Drosophila melanogaster: one gene and its partners. The protein of the gene in region 1 purifies or fractionates together with the protein of each later gene. This does not show direct contact. Each region holds a gene or a part of one and is shown in the gene's direction. Other genes may lie near its edges.

The links. Proteins that work in one complex are often made in the same cells at the same time.
Region 2: the proteins of Su(var)2-10 (region 1) and egg purify together in Drosophila melanogaster (affinity purification with western blotting; 2 studies listed by BioGRID). This does not show direct contact.
Region 3: the proteins of Su(var)2-10 (region 1) and MEP-1 purify together in Drosophila melanogaster (affinity purification with western blotting; one study listed by BioGRID). This does not show direct contact.

The regions. Positions count from the first base shown.
Region 1 is NT_033778.4:9,114,200-9,121,341, forward strand, and holds Su(var)2-10 (suppressor of variegation 2-10), read left to right. Parts: upstream 1-1,922; 5' UTR 1,923-2,123; coding exon 2,124-2,252; intron 2,253-2,418; exon of another isoform or gene 2,419-2,957; coding exon of another isoform or gene 2,958-2,978; coding exon 2,979-3,653; intron 3,654-3,717; coding exon 3,718-3,958; intron 3,959-4,015; coding exon 4,016-4,250; intron 4,251-4,306; coding exon 4,307-4,473; intron 4,474-4,539; coding exon 4,540-4,628; intron 4,629-4,688; coding exon of another isoform or gene 4,689-4,700; coding exon 4,701-4,848; coding exon of another isoform or gene 4,849-4,874; exon of another isoform or gene 4,875-5,553; coding exon of another isoform or gene 5,554-5,632; exon of another isoform or gene 5,633-5,711; coding exon of another isoform or gene 5,712-5,754; exon of another isoform or gene 5,755-5,906; intron 5,907-6,100; coding exon 6,101-6,339; 3' UTR 6,340-6,578; coding exon of another isoform or gene 6,579-6,607; 3' UTR 6,608-6,617; downstream 6,618-7,142. Other genes in the region: Phax (phosphorylated adaptor for RNA export), read left to right, coding at 149-193, 252-984, 1,040-1,131, 1,185-1,461, 1,520-1,734.
Region 2 is NT_033778.4:24,774,994-24,781,707, reverse strand, and holds egg (eggless), read left to right. Parts: upstream 1-1,806; 5' UTR 1,807-1,894; coding exon 1,895-2,833; intron 2,834-2,891; coding exon 2,892-3,009; intron 3,010-3,080; coding exon 3,081-3,364; intron 3,365-3,417; coding exon 3,418-3,673; intron 3,674-3,735; coding exon 3,736-4,241; intron 4,242-4,299; coding exon 4,300-5,061; intron 5,062-5,132; coding exon 5,133-5,849; intron 5,850-5,907; coding exon 5,908-6,114; 3' UTR 6,115-6,174; downstream 6,175-6,714. Other genes in the region: CG3594 (uncharacterized protein), read right to left, coding at 1-750; Lcp9 (larval cuticle protein 9), read left to right, coding at 1,339-1,350, 1,407-1,673. UniProt on the Drosophila melanogaster protein: Histone methyltransferase that specifically trimethylates 'Lys-10' of histone H3 (H3K9me3) in ovary. H3K9me3 represents a specific tag for epigenetic transcriptional repression by recruiting Su(var)205/HP1 to methylated histones.
Region 3 is NT_037436.4:2,630,111-2,634,754, forward strand, and holds the start of MEP-1 (MEP-1), read left to right. Parts: upstream 1-1,604; 5' UTR 1,605-1,701; coding exon of another isoform or gene 1,702-1,806; exon of another isoform or gene 1,807-1,866; coding exon of another isoform or gene 1,867-2,011; intron 2,012-2,164; exon of another isoform or gene 2,165-2,356; intron 2,357-3,427; coding exon of another isoform or gene 3,428-3,633; 5' UTR 3,634-3,699; intron 3,700-4,644. Other genes in the region: CG42245 (uncharacterized protein), read left to right, coding at 1,702-1,806, 1,867-2,011, 3,428-3,633.

The DNA.
Region 1 (7,142 bases):
CTTTGCACTATTAAAGACCAATAATATAAACATAATAATTTAACTATGCACCAAGTAATCCTCAGTAAGTATGGTCACTCTGCCGCTCAGTGTTGCACAAACAGCTGCACTTTGGGCGAAGATTTTCTCTCGACTCGCCATAAAAAAAATGATGGAACTGCACGCAAATGACGTTGACCTGGAGGACGGCGAGGTAATCATAAGCACCCAGACTACCGAGCATCTAATGACCATATCTGCCGGCCTTTCAGCTATCGGAGAGCGACGATGATGGCGTTTACACGCCGTTGCAGCGACCTGACGGTGCGGAGAAGGTGGCCAGTCCCCTTACCACCTGCCATCAGATCCAGACTGCGTTAGAGGACGAGTCACAAAGCAACAGCGACTCCTCGACTGCCGAATCCTCCGAGGACGGGTGCATCAAGAAGCTTCGTACGGAATCCACCGGACCCGACGGCCACAAGAAGCGGAAAAAGCGCATTCGGCGCACGGTAATGCGGCGCGTTCCGCCCACGGATGCTGAAATGCAACCGAATCGAGCCCGTTTCAAGAAGTACAACGTGTGGGCTTCTGCCCTGCAAGAGGATGCGCTCAGCGAGAATATGCGTGGCTGCGACGTTACCCGAAGCGGTCGGGATCGAAATGTTGAAAACTACGACTTCTCATTGCGATACCGGCTGAACGGCGAGAACACTCTAAAGCGACGACTCTCAAACTCTTCGGAGGACGGCGGCGAATGCTCCCATCCAGCTCACAAGAGGGGAAGACCTTCTAGTCGGCCCATCACCGGGAATCAACAGCGCGGTTTGGTCAAGAGTAGAACGGGTCACCGGTCACGTCGTGGGACATCTTCGGCCAGCGGATCTTCCGATTTCTGCGAGCCCAGACACATTCTGGACTTAAACGAAGTGGGTGAGAGAGATCCTTCGGATGTGGCTACCGAAATGGCCAGCAAACTGTACGAGGAAAAGGACGAATTACTTGGTGAGTATGTGAAATAAATAATGCCCTACTTAGTAAATAATGCCAGTTTTACCAGTTCGAGTCGTGGAGGTTCTTGGCATAGATGTGTGCCTAGAGCTATACAAGGAAACTCAGCGCATTGAAGCCGATGGCGGCATGATGATCAAAGTAAGTAGTAAAGGATGTTCCCCCGAATATACTAACACGATACCTCGAAACAGAACGGCATACGGAGACGTACACCAGGCGGGGTATTCCTGTTCCTAATAAAGCACCACGATAACATCACTCAGGAGCAGCAGAAGCGCATTTTTAGTGAGGATCGCCAGAGTCTGAGCAAGTCTCGAAAGCAGATCGAAACGTTGATGCGGGACCGTAAGGTGGAAGAGTTGAAGAAGTGCCTCAGCAAGCAGGTTACGGAACTGCCGACGTTAAATCAGCGCAAAGAGTACTACATGCAGGGCGACGAGCAAAGTGAAGATAAGCAACCGGGCAGCTGTAAGAAGATCCCATTATTATTGTTAAATCTCCTATGTGACTATTTTGACTATTTCAGTGTCCAACCCGCCACCCTCCCCTGTTGGCGCTGAGCAGGAGCACGACAGCCCTGAGTACAGGACCCACGAGATCAATATAAATCTTGTGGACAATGCGGAACTTCCCTCCACATCCAAAGCAGCGGCGGCGGCTCAGGGAGCGCCGCTGAAGGATTTAATCAGCTACGACCACGACTTTCTGGACGTCAATTGCGGGGACATGGACTTTTTCTAGGCCCACGCCAAGCGGCGGGCCCCTTTTATACTATTCTTGCATAGATAGACCCATATTTGTACAATTAAATAAATGCCTAGCGAATTAGGAATCTACGAAAGTAACGGTTGCTAACAAAGTAAACAAACGCACGCGTTAGGGCATTTTCGGGCTGCGTGAGACAAGACTCGGCCAGGCGGTAGAGATTTCCGCAGTGTCGATCGATAGTGTCAACTCTAGTCGGCCCACAGCGACGACGCCGCGTAAAATATTTTTGTTTCTCCGCATTCGTTGAAAAACAGCGGCAATTGCTTGTTTTTATGTGTGGTGCGCGTCCCAGGCAAATGCAAACGAGTCCGCGACTTCAATTGCCGAACGCCTAACGCCACCGTGAATAGAAAATAATAGTGATGCGAAAGACCCGCTCTCAGACGGCTCGCACGCAGGCGGAAAATGCCGCAACATCTTCGAGCCCCGGGCACCAGTCGACTTCGTCAGCGCCAATAGCAGTTAATCCCTTTGATTCCACCAAGTACAAGGTATGTTTCCGCCAGTCTCAGTTTATTCAGTCCAAAGAATTTTTCATAAATATGGGGGCCATGGTTATTGATAAGCAGTGTGACCGCAGAAAAAAATGGTGTCTGTACCCTTCCCCACCCACGAACAGAGTGATTTGCCAGCCAAATCCGCCGGCGCTTAACAACACTATCATCCGCCATATTTCTTCAGACCGTGCGGACAAAACAAAATTCGTGTGACAAAAAAGGGGGCATTTTTGCGGTAGTTTGTTTAAGTGCAATTTGCGAAAGAAGGAAGGCTGCCAGTGGCGAACACAAGCCTTACCAAATTTTCTGCATATACCAACGTTAAAAGCCACTGAAACCCGATCGGTTCCACGAAAAGAAACTTTTTGCGAGAACGCCATGTTTGAGCATCTAGGTAATGATTTGGTGGCATGCGGCAGTTTCGGACCAGTAAATTATCCACAGATGGGAAAAATGTGGAAGCCAGGCTTTTGTCCGACTGTCAAGCAATCACTTGGCATATAATGTAGAGCGAATTTATGATTTTTTCTGCATAAAGCCGCACAAGGCATACGCATGTGTACATATGTGCGAAAACGCGATATTTGCATATAGAGCGCGCTTGTGTGTGTGTTCGTGTGGACGCTTGGTGCTAAGTCCCGCTATTTGGACATAGACACCTTCCCAATTTTCCGAAATACAAAATTTTCATTGTTCGCCATGCCATTTCCGTCTCTTCAGGAATGTGAGCAAATGGTGCAGATGCTTCGAGTGGTCGAGCTGCAAAAAATCCTGTCGTTTCTGAACATCTCATTCGCTGGACGAAAAACTGACCTGCAGAGCCGCATCCTCTCGTTCTTGCGCACCAACTTGGAACTGCTTGCCCCGAAGGTCCAGGAAGTCTACGCCCAGTCCGTGCAGGAACAAAACGCCACGCTGCAGTACATCGACCCAACCAGGATGTACTCGCACATCCAGCTGCCGCCCACCGTGCAGCCCAATCCCGTGGGCCTCGTGGGCAGCGGCCAAGGTGTGCAAGTGCCCGGCGGCCAGATGAATGTGGTCGGCGGCGCACCCTTCCTCCACACACACAGCATCAACAGCCAGCTGCCTATTCACCCCGATGTGCGGCTGAAAAAGCTAGCCTTCTACGATGTACTCGGAACGCTAATTAAGCCTTCAACTCTGGTGCCACGCAACACTCAGCGCGTCCAAGAGGTGCCTTTCTACTTCACGCTCACGCCGCAGCAGGCCACCGAGATTGCCTCTAATCGCGACATTCGCAACAGCTCCAAGGTGGAGCACGCCATTCAGGTTCAACTGCGCTTTTGCCTGGTGGAGACTTCGTGCGACCAGGAGGACTGCTTCCCGCCGAACGTAAACGTCAAAGTGAACAACAAACTCTGTCAGCTGCCTGTAAGTATTATCCGATTATCCAATCAGGACCTGGTATAATATCCTGCTCTTTATTCCAATGCAGAATGTCATTCCTACAAACCGACCAAATGTGGAGCCCAAGCGTCCGCCGCGACCCGTTAATGTCACGTCCAATGTAAAGCTGTCGCCTACCGTCACCAACACCATAACGGTTCAGTGGTGTCCGGACTACACTCGTAGCTACTGTCTGGCCGTATACCTGGTAAAGAAGCTCACCTCAACACAGCTTTTGCAGCGAATGAAGACGAAGGGCGTAAAACCAGCGGACTACACGCGAGGCTTAAGTGAGTTTTCTGTGCTCCAATGATGCAAACTTAATAATAAATACCATTTTTTTAAAGTCAAAGAGAAGCTGACTGAGGATGCTGACTGCGAAATAGCCACCACTATGCTGAAGGTTTCCCTTAACTGCCCGTTGGGCAAGATGAAAATGTTGCTGCCTTGTCGAGCATCAACCTGCTCGCATCTGCAATGCTTCGATGCCAGTCTCTACCTGCAAATGAATGAGCGTAAGCCCACGTGGAACTGCCCTGTATGCGACAAGCCGGCCATTTATGACAACCTGGTCATAGATGGGTAAGAAATGTCATTTCATTTAGCATATTTGTAACTGATTAAACTCTGTTTTCCAGCTACTTCCAGGAGGTGTTGGGCTCGTCGCTTCTAAAGAGTGATGATACTGAGATTCAACTTCATCAGGATGGATCTTGGAGCACACCAGGACTACGGAGCGAGACGCAGATCCTTGATACGCCTTCAAAGCCCGCCCAAAAGGTTGAGGTTATATCGGATGACATAGGTAATCGCCTAACACGCAACCTTTTAAATTGTTTTGACATTAATCAAGTTTTTCGGACATTACCAGAACTTATCTCGGATGACGCCAAGCCAGTAAAGAGGGATTTGTCCCCAGCACAGGACGAACAGCCCACATCAACGTCAAACAGTGAAACTGTAAGTAGAGAGCACCAATCTACAACCTACCAAACTGTCTTATCATATGACTGTATTCTGTCTGCGCAACAGGTTGACCTAACGTTAAGCGATTCAGACGACGACATGCCGCTGGCTAAGCGTCGTCCGCCCGCCAAGCAAGCCGTCGCCAGTTCCACGTCGAACGGCAGCGGTGGCGGCCAACGTGCCTATACCCCGGCACAGCAGCCCCAGCAATCCGGTACGTTGGATCCCTTTTTGCAATAAGCCAGTAACGAGAATTATATCTCTGTATAGCCAAGAAATCTTTATGTTTACAAATTGCTAATTGTAGACCCTAGGGTAAAGTAGTTATAAGAATCCATACACATCCCATTTACATACATCCACACTGACTCAACCACGCTTCGGCACCAATAATTTAGACAAAGGAATGAAATCCTAACAAGATCAAGCATTTAGGTTTCGGTTCACCTTTTACGGCACACCTCTAGGACATCATTTAACGTAAAAGTATTTTTTTGGTGCATCAATTGTCTTAAATAATATTAGAAAATTTTAACTGCAAAAGTTCGAAAGAGTATTCACATTGTCCAAAATGAAAATTACATATATGTTACATATGATTCTGACTTCATCATCACTTATTGTTATTCAAATATAATTAGGTCCCCGATTCCGCTTATGACTTTAGTGCATCATTTGATTTTAGTATGAGTACACCCAGTTAAAATTAACCCAATTTTACGTGTAGTATGTACAAACATATGTTTATGTTTCAAAAAAGTGACCAGAAGGGCTATTTATCATGATAATTTTGTGTTAGATCTACGGAGTCCAGCATCGAAAAGGTTTCCGTAGATTTCGTAAAATCCCCTAGCCAAAACTTGTATAGACTAAGTAGGCTATAAATTGACTCTATCCGCTTTCGTTGCTTGTATTGTAGGTGGTAATGTTTTTAAAAAACCTCAGAAAGCGGAGGAGCTTTACAAGCGTGTTCATTTAGGAGTTTGGCTGCGCCCACGGTATGTTTTCCGTCGATCGATTGTGAAATGGTTCGGGTTTGGAACAAGAATCCCATACTTAATCAGAACATTCTTACAGAAAACCCAAGCCAGAGAGCTCAAGGCGCCCAAACGTCGGCTAAGCAAAGTTAATAGAGTATTTTTCGGTTTTATACCACCATTTGTCCTAATTCATTTTCAATGTATTTTCTGTTGTCACCGAATCTAAATTATTTCACGATATGTACTCTTATTTTAAGTGATAATTTTAATAAATCATGCCAGTTTGTTAGTGAAGGTTTTTGTTGAGAGCCTCTTTTCCGATTGTTGTTGTGTTAACCTAAACCCAAGGTTATATGATGATAATAACTAAACTAATTCAAGTAACTTGTGCATTTCTTTGTCTTTTTTCTTTCTCTCTCTCTCTTTCTCTTCTTCCCCTGATCTTTTTGTGTGACCCGTCCATGCTGCCGCCGATGCAACTCGTAGAATCCCCAGAACAGCAGGCCAGCCGCCAATCGCCAGAGAAGCAGACAGTCTCAGAGCAGCAACTGCAGCAGCAACAGCACGAGCAGCCAGCGACGGCAGCCGTCCATGCCTCCCTCCTGGAATCCCTGGCTGCTGCGGTCGCGGATCAAAAGCACTTCCAACTGTTGGATCTGGCTGCGGTTGCGGCTGCTGCAGCTGCCACGGCGTCCTCCGGCCAGAGCCAGAATGCCGGCCCGTAGGCAGGACCCACATCCCACACACATTAATCGCACATCTCGCGGCTCGCGGTCTCTTACTGTTATGGTCCCTATATTGGCCCGTCCAGTTTCTGTTTTCGGTTTCACTTCCGGTGGCGCACGGCCACATATTACCTTAGAGGCTATTCTTCGGCGTTCGATTCGCCGCCTTGCATCACCTCATTATTCATACTCTATCAATCGCGAGCCACCAACTGATGCTTGTAATTCTTGTGTTGCAGGACGCAGGCATAACAGACAGGTTTTGTAGGAGAGGGTCCCCTGTTCCCGAATGAATCCATGTGCTCCCCCATCGGCCAGATTGTTGCTGCCCCTTTTTTCAGTTGGCTCACACCAAAACACTTTGCTTACGTCCCGTGTCTTTTATTCGTGTCGTCTCGAGTAGTTAGTTGTGTTACGCTTTGCCAGCGCTCTCAGCAACACACGCCACACCACACAGCAACTGAAATATTCCTAGATATTGCAAATACACAAACTAGCACCAGCATTAATTAGCAATTACTATAGGAAACGCAATTAATTTATTTTCCATTGAAGCGGTCAGCGCAATGAACACTATGAGGAAAGCGAAATGAAAGGATGCATGCCAGGCGGCGGCCAGTCGCGGCACCAAAATTTAAAGTAGTTAAGTTATTTTAGTTAAACTACGGATTCTGTACGGATTGGAGGCGGTGCTGTGTGCAGTTGGAGGGTGTTGCAGTCCTCGCATTTAAGTTACGTTGCAAGACAGGGCGGAATGGCATATGGCATTAAAGGTCCATAGTATTGAAAGCAATCGAAGCCGT
Region 2 (6,714 bases), about 16 Mb from region 1:
TGTGGGTCTGGGGGCGGGCTTTTTGCGCCACCGCTTTCGCGCCAGCATTTCCTTGGCCTTCTCCTTTTTCAGGTCCTTGTCGTAAAACTTGCCGCTCTTCGTGAAGGTCTTCTGCTCGTTGCGCATCTCGGCCAGCTTTCGGTTCTTCTGTTTGATGATGTTCTTCTTGTTGGCCGACTTCTTCTTGCCCGCCTCGGAGATCTGCACCTTGATGTTGCGTCCCTGCAGCTCTGTGTTGTGCAGCTGGAAGGCATTCTGGAAACTGCTTAGGTCGGCCATTTCCACAAAGGCGAAGCCCCCTCGTCGCTTCTTGGGAATGCGGATAGACTTGACCGTGCCTGCCGCAGAGAAGTGCAGCTCCAGGTCGTCCTTTGTGGTTTCGAAGTTCAGGTTCGTCACGTACAGGACGTGTCTGTTGGTTTTGGAGGCTCCTCGAAGCAGTGAACTCAGCTGGTCACTGGTTATCTGCCCATTTTCCGCAGATTCCTCTTCCTCGGCTCCGGAAGCAGCACTGCCCTCAGCGGCTGCCTCGTCGTCGGACTTGGCCTCATCCTCGCTCTTACTATCCTCCGGGTCACTGGGATTCCGTCCGTCCTCCTTGTCCACATACGTGCCCTCGAAGATCTCCCTTCGCTTCTGGTCATCGAAGTTTCCCAATAGATCCGCACTGTCGTCGTTGACTGTGCGTTGAACTCGCTTGGGATTGAAGAAAGCCTCCACCTCATAATCGCTGCCAGAATCACTGGCCATCGTGATATTTCTGGGGGAGATTGCAGTGCACACCGATACGCAGACACCACCACGTGGGATTCCCTCTGAATGGCAAATCTGTGCGGTCCCAGACATTTTCCAGCACTGGCTAATTGCGCGCCAAGAAATTCAAATCCCAGGCCATATTGCAATCGCAGCTTGTTAGAAACCGGTTGCAACTGCGGGAGCAAAATCAGACTGCTAATGGAGTTATGCGAAAATAATGCTAATCGGCGTTAGCATCGAAGGAACCGGTTAGCTCTTATCAGCTAAAAATTAATCGTGCGGTGCTGACAATTGATGAACGTGGTTGTTTTGGGAATCTTCCGCACAGATCTCCAAAGATAACCCCCCGAATATGATATGCCGAGTGGGGCGATAATTAATGCCTGCAGAATGACTGCATCTATGTCTTTTGTTTAATTAAGACAAACGACCGCTGGGAGCCAGTTATGAAGAAAATTTATGCAGTTGGTGATTCCGGCCGGTAAAATGTCAGTGGAGAGCTACATATAAAAGCGCAATTTTCGGCAACCAGCAGTCAAAATTTTATCGCTATCTATCAGCACACACATCCCCTTTCCAACCATGAAGTTTGTGGTAAGTGGCATCGAAATTAGATTTTGGGGACCTCTGAACAACGATTTGTCTTTTAGATCGTTCTTGCCTGCCTTTTGGCCGTGGTCTTCGCCAACGAGGAGGCTGATGTTGTAAAGAGCGACTCCGAGGTTAACTTGCTGGACTTTAACTACGCTTATGAGCTATCCAACCATATTCGCGCCGTGCAAACTGGAGCCTTGAAGGAGCACGACAACTGGGTGGTTTCCGGGGAGTACGAGTACGTGGCCCCCAACGGCAAGACCGTCAAAGTGGTCTACACCGCCGATGAAACCGGCTACCACCCAAAGGTCGTCGAGGCCTAATGAACAGGACCCACTCCCGAAGACCGAAATAAAAAATTAAATCCATTGCAGCAGCGAACATTTTGAATTTCCGTTCTTTTTCTTTTGTGTGAATAGACACTCTTCTTCTTTCTGCCACTAAAATCTAGGGCTGGCAAATTACGAGCGAAATTTTATACAATGTTATCGCTTGTCTCGCAAATTTGCATTAATGTGTAAAGTTAAGTAAACTCATTAAAACTATGTCTGGGCAGCCAACAGCCGTGGACTGCTTAGAGAGCAGTGGAAGCACAGTGGAGGATGTCCAAGAAACACCGGCGTCGAGGGAAAAAAGTTACGGGTTGCCGGTGCGCAAAGGAGAAAATAGCTTGGAGTCTCCTGCAGAACAAGCCGCAAAGGATGTGGAAATTGAGGAACTGACACACAGTGAAGCAATCGCCGCCACCGGTTCAACCAGGAAGCAGTGCCCATATGGAGGTAAGGCCCCTGATGAACCTGGAAAGTTGGCCGACGAATCGGAGGACCGCAAGGGAGAGAACACGAAAGCCATTGCAAGCAGCCCGGTTTTGGTAGCTGTGGATTCGGACAGCAGTGTTGAGCTAATAGAGAGTCCTGTCAAATTCTCCTCCGCCAACGAAAGTGAGAAAGATCCGCCAAAACCAGATGCTGTCAATGAAGCTGCGGCTAAAGAGGCCGAGGAAATGACTGATAGCAGCATCAGCAGTCCCACATCCGAAAGTTTTCCTGAAAAAGATGAAAAGACCAATAAGGAAAATGAGCAAGAACCTCCTGGCATGGAGGTAGATCAGGACGTCGAGGAGTCAATAAGTCGACCAGCAGAAGAATACAAAATTGAGAATACATTAAAAGGTCACAAGCGTATTAGCTTAACGGAAATCGAAGAACACAAAATTGTTGATAAAAAAGACGATGTCCTAGAGGTGGAGCTTGAAAAGGGCACTGCTCCGAAAGCTGCAGAAGACGAGAAGCTGAACGCTTTGTTATCAGATGGAGATGTCTTCTACGACAAGGAATGTGTCAACTGCAATTGCACAAAGCTTCATAAACAGTACGTGTTGGCTAACATGGCCACTTTAAACTTTTACCAGGTGCTCCGAAAGTCTTCCAAGCAGCAGTTCCTCTGCATGGGATGCCATGACACAGCAATGGACTTGTATGAGGTCAACTAGCATATTTATTAACTTAAGAGGGAAACTTAGAACGTATTTCTTTATTTAGGAGTATGCTGGACAACTAATGGCCAAGCAGCCGCTGCTGCTAAAGGATTTCCATCAGGATCACGCCGACTTTGTGGCTCTGGACAGCAGCGATGAGGAGGAAGAGGAGAAGCAGCCAGGTGAGACTGCTATCATGATAAATAAACAATAGCAAAAAAAAAAACGTACTAAATATATTTTATCCGCACAGAAAAATCGGACTTTTCGAAAAACAAGCTGCAGCTCATCGAAGATGAACTCGATGATGCCATCAAAAATGTACTTAACAAGGTGGATTTTACGGCTCAGCTGTCCTGGTCAAAAACTATTCTCCAGGCGAAAGCAGACCACTTGGAGCGACAATTCGCACTGGCAGATGTGGAACTCGAAAAAGTTCAGACCACCGCTGACAAAATGCACTGCGCTTTGTATAACTCGTGTCCGGTGGCACACAAACATCTGCCCACCCTGGACATTGAACCCAGTGACTATGTGGTAAGTAAGAAGTGATGCCGTTTGGATCTGATTTAATACAACCATTTACTCAGCATGAAGTTCCACCTCCTGGCGAAATCGTGCGTCCTCCAATACAGTTGGGAGAGACATACTACGCTGTTAAGAACAAGGCTATTGCCAGCTGGGTGTCCATAAAGGTAATCGAGTTTACAGAGAGCACCGCCATCAACGGAAACACGATGAAGAGCTACAAGATTAGGTACCTCAACACTCCGTACCAGATGATCAAGACAGTGACGGCCAAGCACATTGCCTACTTCGAACCACCGCCAGTGCGACTGACCATTGGTTAGTTCCCAATAGACCGGTTATTTATCAATCTATAAACTAACCCACTCATTGTGCACTAGGTACCCGCGTGATTGCGTACTTCGATGGCACCACTTTGTCGCGGGGCAAGGATAAGGGCGTGGTGCAGAGCGCCTTTTATCCAGGCATCATCGCTGAGCCGTTGAAGCAGGCCAATCGCTACCGCTACCTAATATTCTACGACGATGGGTACACTCAGTACGTTCCGCACCGCGATGTCCGTCTAGTTTGCCAGGCTTCCGAGAAAGTGTGGGAGGACGTACACGCCGCATCGCGCGATTTCATACAGAAGTACGTGGAGAAGTACTCCGTGGATCGTCCAATGGTGCAATGCACCCGGGGACAAAGTATGACCACTGAATCGAACGGGACCTGGCTGTACGCGCGCGTCATTGACATCGACTGCAGCTTGGTGTTGATGCAGTTTGAGGGCGACAAAAACCATACGGAGTGGATATACAGGGGTTCATTGCGCTTGGGTCCTGTCTTCAGGGAAACCCAGAACAATATGAACAGTTCAAGCGCACAGCAGCTGCGTGTCCCAAGAGTAAGCATCGTGTCGATTCATCCTGCGGTCCTAACTACAAAATGTCTTTCTTTTTCAGCGCACGGAGCCCTTTATTCGGTACACCAAGGAGATGGAGTCCAGCAGCAAGGTGAACCAGCAGATGCGTGCCTTTGCCCGCAAGAGCAGCGCCTCCGCCCAAAATAACGCATTAGCGGCTGCATCTTCGGCAGCAACCCCAGCCGGAGGACGCACCAATGCAGGAGGTGTCAGCACCAGTAATAGCGCAAGTGCTGTGCGACACCTAAACAACTCGACAATCTACGTGGACGACGAGAACAGGCCCAAGGGCCATGTAGTCTACTTTACAGCCAAGCGGAATCTGCCTCCCAAAATGTACAAGTGCCACGAGTGCAGCCCGAACTGCCTCTTTAAGATCGTTCACCGTCTGGACAGCTACAGTCCGTTAGCGAAGCCTCTGCTTTCTGGCTGGGAACGTCTTGTCATGCGGCAGAAGACCAAGAAGTCTGTGGTATACAAGGGACCTTGTGGCAAAAGCTTGCGCAGCCTGGCCGAAGTTCACAGGTACCTTCGAGCTACTGAAAATGTGTTGAACGTAGACAATTTTGACTTTACGCCCGACCTCAAGTGTCTGGCCGAGTACTCCATTGATCCCTCGATCGTGAAGGACACGGACATTTCAAAGGGGCAGGAGAAGATGGCGATTCCGCTGGTAAACTACTACGACAACACCCTGCCGCCCCCATGCACCTACGCGAAGCAGCGCATCCCTACCGAGGGTGTTCATCTGAATCTGGACGAGGAGTTCCTCTTGTGCTGCGACTGCGAGGACGACTGCTCGGTAAGACGTCTTACAGATCTGATTACCTCAAATTATACCCAGCCGCCCACTATTTTGTGTATCCCTATCAGGACAAGTCAAAGTGCGCCTGTTGGCAGCTAACGGTGGCGGGCGTGCGGTACTGTAACCCGAAGAAACCCATCGAGGAGATAGGCTACCAGTACAAGCGGCTCCACGAGCACGTGCCCACCGGCATCTACGAGTGCAACTCGCGCTGCAAGTGCAAGAAGAATTGCCTGAACCGGGTGGTGCAGTTCTCCCTAGAGATGAAACTGCAGGTGTTCAAGACCTCAAATCGTGGATGGGGCTTGCGCTGCGTTAACGACATCCCCAAGGGTGCTTTCATCTGTATTTACGCCGGCCATCTGCTCACGGAGACGATGGCCAACGAAGGCGGACAGGACGCCGGCGACGAGTATTTCGCGGACTTAGATTACATAGAGGTCGCTGAACAGTTAAAAGAGGGATACGAGTCGGAGGTGGACCACTCGGACCCGGACGCCGAGGAGGACAACGGGGGACCCGATGCCGAGGACGATGACGACTTCCGGCCAAACTATCACTACCAGCGCAAAATCAAGCGCTCTTCCAGAAGCGGCTCCACGCAGAACAGCTCCACTCAGAGCAGCGAGTTGGACTCGCAGGAGCGTGCGGTGATCAACTTTAACCCAAATGCTGATCTGGACGAGACGGTGCGGGAGAACTCGGTGCGGAGGCTTTTCGGCAAGGACGAGGCGCCCTACATCATGGACGCCAAGACAACGGGCAACCTTGGACGCTATTTCAACGTGAGTTGGAAGTTTTTTGTTATTTTGCCGTGTGGCTGATTCTCTTCTTCTCCCGCAGCACTCGTGCAGCCCCAATCTCTTCGTGCAGAACGTGTTCGTGGATACTCACGACCTGCGTTTCCCCTGGGTTGCCTTCTTCTCGGCCGCGCACATCCGCTCCGGCACCGAGCTGACTTGGAACTACAATTACGAGGTGGGCGTGGTGCCCGGCAAGGTGTTGTACTGCCAGTGCGGGGCCCCCAATTGCCGCCTTCGTCTGCTCTAAGTTCTAGCTTAAGTTAGAGATCCATACAGGAAATATACTCATTAAAGAAGAATTAGAATTAAAAATTTAAACTTTAAACATTATCTGTTCCGTTAGGGTAACGGAAACATTGCATTTTTATAAGCTACTGCTGTTCTGCACCGTCCGTTTCAAAGTACACAATTTTCTTCACGTTTAGTGTTAAAGGAATAAATATAGACAAATGAATTTTAAAAAATTATACTTTAAAAAAATAATAATGTTCGTTAATTTAACGGTATTAATTTATGTGGTATTTTAACGCATTTTACCTAGTGGTATACTTAATCATCAGCCGTACGGTATTTTTAATCGTTATCCGAACGGTCACACTATCCACCGAGCAAAAAAGCAAATTTAGGCTTTTTAAAATTCGAGAGTAGCTAAATTAGGGGCCGCAATGCGCCAAGCTCACCTGTAAGTGGCTCCAGCAAGTGTCTCGTCGCAGGTGCACAGGTGCTAGGCAGCAGGACTCCGCCGACGGCTGACTAAGAGCAGCTTATCCGCCCCTTGGGAAGAAAAAATCGATTTTGTGATAACGGGCTTACGCTTACGCGTTTTTGCACTGCTAGTCGGAACCAA
Region 3 (4,644 bases), on another chromosome or scaffold:
CCGAGTTGCACTTCGGCAGAGGCGGAGGACTCCGTGCCGGATGCAGACTGTGATAACATTTTCCTGAGGCTCTGCGTTCTCAAGAGTGCTCGATATTAGTTGGCCGGCATGTGACTTGAAGCCTATGGATTCTGAATGGGACGGTCGGATGGATGACTCTATATCCAGCATATAGCATCGTATCCGTATCAAGGCCGAAACACTTGTGTTGCACCGGCATTTTCAATGTATTTTCAATGCGGACGCAAAGCGAGCAAAACAAAACACAACAAGCATACGCCACGTTGCACTTGCACAGCATCAAATGCCCTGCCATCCTCATTTTTAATGCATGAGGGGGTGCTCCCTCCACCCGGCCACACTCCATTTGTTTTTCCAACCATCGCTGTGGATTGCGTAGCGATTGGGGGCTGCAGCTCCGAAACTGTTCGCTTAAGCGGTCGGTGATAAGACGCGAAATCAAATTTAAAAGCTATCAATTTGATATTAGTTCGGGGACCGACGAAAATCCTTCGGGGGAAAAGCTGCTGCCGCGTGCCAGAATGCAGAAATCGGAGTTTTTCATGGGGAATTCGTTCACGGAAAAACAAAAGGAATATATTTGAAATATAAATTTATGTTTTATTGTCATATTTTTCACTGGATATGACACTAATTTAATTCTTCTCTATCTGTCAGTCTACAGATATTTGTTTGGGTTTATGCAAAAAAAAAACCAAAAAAAAAAAACTTTTGTTTAGCTCCTCTCACGTATTTTATTTATAACTAAACTAAATATATGAAACGCTGTTTTCTCAGTGCATCCTATTTGTGTTTTTGCCAACATATGCTGCAGCTCATAAAATTTCTCCGCTTTGCTGCAGTTTTCATTTGCCTTTTTTTTTCGGCAGCTCTTTTTTGGTTAGCTGTCGAAGTTTTGAAATCAATTTGCAGATGATTTATTATGTTCCCAGGAACGAATAGGGGGCTTCAATCGAGGAGGAGTCTGTGCATACGACATTGCAAATGGAAGCCACTGACGTTGATGAATGCCGCTGTGTATTGTTTTGCTGTCAGAAGCGATCAAATTTCTGTTTTGGAGCACGGAATTCCAGGTGAAGCGGAAAATTTGCAAGTTATGCGACAGTTTTATGCGCCCATTTTTTGATTGGCAGCGAGGATTCGCAAATTGATGGCACGTCTCGGGGCAATCGGTTTTCTCAGCGGAAATGCCAGTTGGAAATGGGAACTTAAGATACTTAAAGAAATGCATCAAAAATAATAGGATAAATATTATATATTTATAGAAATTTTTAAGAAATATTAACTCTTTATCAACAGTAAGCATTTTCAAAAAGTAACCGCTTTTGCCTAACAGTGCTGCCCATCTACAATTGGTTTTCAGGCAGCACTATGCACACGGCAGTACAGCTGTTACTTATCGGTGCTATCGATAAATATCAAGGACTCAAAAATTGGGACTAATAATATTAAAAGAGCAAGCTTAAACTTTAACATTATAACTATTAAAACTGGATTTACAATTGTCTTACGTTACTTTAAAGTATAGCAGTTGAAATCGATTTAGTATTGTCAACGCGCGCTTTCCCACACTGCTCGATAAGCATATGTTTTTCTTATCGACATTTGTGGTAAATAAAAAGTGCAAAAACCGCTGCTAAATCGGTCAAGAAGTGCAATGATATAGCCGCCATATCTGATATGTCCAAGCGCAACATAACGTACGTAAAGCCGCAAGAACCTAGTTTTCTGGCCAAGTTGAAGGCTGAAATTGGCTACAAGGAGGGACCCACCGTAGAGACCAAGGTGAGTTCTACGGGGAAGGCCTCTGCAGCATTCTAATGCGGATATATAACCATTGGTTAGCGTCAGCGATTGGATCCGCAGGACCAGGAGGACTACGATTCTGAGGAAGATTCACGGGAGGACGAACAGCCGCAGGTGGTCGTCCTTAGGCCGGGAGATCTATCCGCCGAAGAGGCCAAAACGGAGAAACTGTTGGCCTCCAAAGGTCGGTACATATGTACAAGCATACATACATACATATCGCTGTAGTACATACATACTTACACGCTCGCACACGCACACACACATGCATATAGCCCACGGTGGCGGCGGCGGCAGTTGCACGTGTGTGCGTAGGTAGGATGTTGTAGTTTGTCTTTCAGTTTAACTTTTCAGTCAGAATCGAGCGGTTGTCTTCTTCTGCCCGGCGTTACATATATCTAAATCATATATGTATATATACATAACTGCGTATATACCGTTGCTTATGTATGAGTGCGCGCGTGTGCTTGTGCATTTTTGCCAAATGAAAATCTAACGGTAGTGCGAAAACAGCAGTTTGTTGCAAGAAGTATGTGTTTTTTTTTTCGAAAAGCACCTTCGGTTTTTCAATCTTTTTAAAGCCCTATGTTGCCATGGCAATCTTGGTCATTTCCGTCCTAAAGATTCCCTTTTTTGCCCAGCGGAGCACCCCTCACACAGACACACACACCCGCAGCAGCTAGCCGACGAGGCATACACACTGACATTTTCATTGGGGGCTCCGCCAAAGCAGAGCATGTGATGAAAATCGTTGGCAAAGCGGGCGCGGCGATAAAGCAGCCGGCAAAGAAGTTAACAACAGCAGCTGCCGCCGCTCGCTTTGTCCGCCTCTTCCGCTCGCCCCCCTGCCCCTTTCAGCCCCACTTGGAAGAGCGCAGAAAATCGGGTGAAAACAACGTGTGCAAGAACGAACGGATGAAGGAGGCGGGCAAAGCGGAGAGACAATGATGAACGAAGCAGGCGAGCAAAGAGGAAAAGAGCGGGCCAAAGTGGCTTGACGACGTGGTGGCGGTGGCAAAGGCGCTGCGGGGAGGGGGTAGGCGTTGAAGAAGGGGCTGGCGGAACAGCGGGGGCGGGTTGCGAATCAGTGGGTGGAGCGGGAGGGGGAGTGAAGCGGGAGCGTCGGGCGAGAAGGGGCTTCCCAGGGCCGAGAAAAACATCTTGTGGGTGCTGCTTGGAAAAGGGGGGGGTCGGTGGGTGGCTTGTTCTGATTTACACCTCCCTCCTCCCCATTTGTCATGCTGCAGTTTTTAAAACCCAGATACATTTTCCAATCCAATAATGAATTGCTGGCATATTAGTCACCTTCCTGGCAATTTTATAAGCAGATCAATTTTCAAAAACTTTCTTGTATTCCTTTTAGTTAATGCAATTTTTAAATTTATTTTATTTATATCAGCTTTGATATATGTATTGGCATTTTTCTCCCTAAATTTGTGCATACTACTTTCCCCAAAATATTTTTCATTCTAAGATAGTTTATATAACTTAAATACTCCATTTAACTTGTAAATAGGTGTTTACTTACACGCTTTACTACGATCATAATAAGTACAGATGATTGCTGACCCATAACTAACTCCCATTTTCAATCTTCCAGAATTAGCCGAAAAGCGAGCGGATCTGACGCAGCCAATAGTCTTCAAACACTGTGTCAAGCAGCCCAACATCGAGAAAAAAGAGTCCCAATCTGAAACCAACAAGAAGTCCGAAAAATCCAGCACATCCAAGAGCAAGAAGTCCAAGGCCGCCAGTAGTAAGCTGTCCTTCAACGAGGACGAGGAGGACGAGACTGCCGAGGATTGAAGATCACACCTTAGTTATCTGGCTATAAGTTGAACCAACCAAGTTAACCTGCAGCGAATGATTAAGGTGAGAAATTCAGGTCAAAAACAGCAAATGATTGTTAACTATGCTTTGTATTTCTTTGTTGCCATGTGAATTTATGAGTTTAATAATGGGGTTTCCATATGTATGTGTTAAAATCCAACTCGCAATGACGCTGTCATCATAGATTGTAGATTTTTCACCAAAGAACTAAACTGTATACTCAAGTTGATATGATATAGTATATATTTGAGTTTTTGCATTAAACATATGCATGTATTGCTGATTTATTGTTATTTAGAAATGAATCATTGAGATTAGATCATGGTTTTGACACGTCGATCGTAAAAATAATTATAGAATTCTTTAAAGATCCCTTAGATTCCTACAACATGATTTTTTCCTAAAGCTTTTCCAAATTTATGTTTTTTAAATAAGTGTTACACGTTTTAAGTAAATTATTAGCATACTAATTATATTTATTATTATCACGTAATGTACTTTACGTGAATCATACTACTTGGAAAAATATTAGTGACTCAAAACCGAATATTTGTGGTGAAATTTTATGTTATTTTCTTCTTTTTTTTAATGTATCTAATGTTACATTTTTCCATTTCAATTGTGAGTTCTTAGTTGGGTTTGATATTCAATCCCAATACAGATTGATCTTAAATCTTGATCAAAGTCCGAAATCTGCTAGAGAAAGTCCTCGGACAACAGGATTATCTAAACTCTGATACCTAATATCTTATAATTTAATCACTTGATTAGAAGAAATGTGGTAAAGTCCTTTTTGATACATGCGATCAATCTCTTAAATTAGTATCTTGTATCTTTACTTTCGATTCAATTGACTTCACCTCTAAGATATTAAGACCCAACTGCCACAGTAATTTCCGCTTAACTTTGTAAATTTGCACTGGAAAATATGAATTGGCTAATTTACTCGATATCGAAAAGGGTCACGTGTATGTATAACATAAAGTT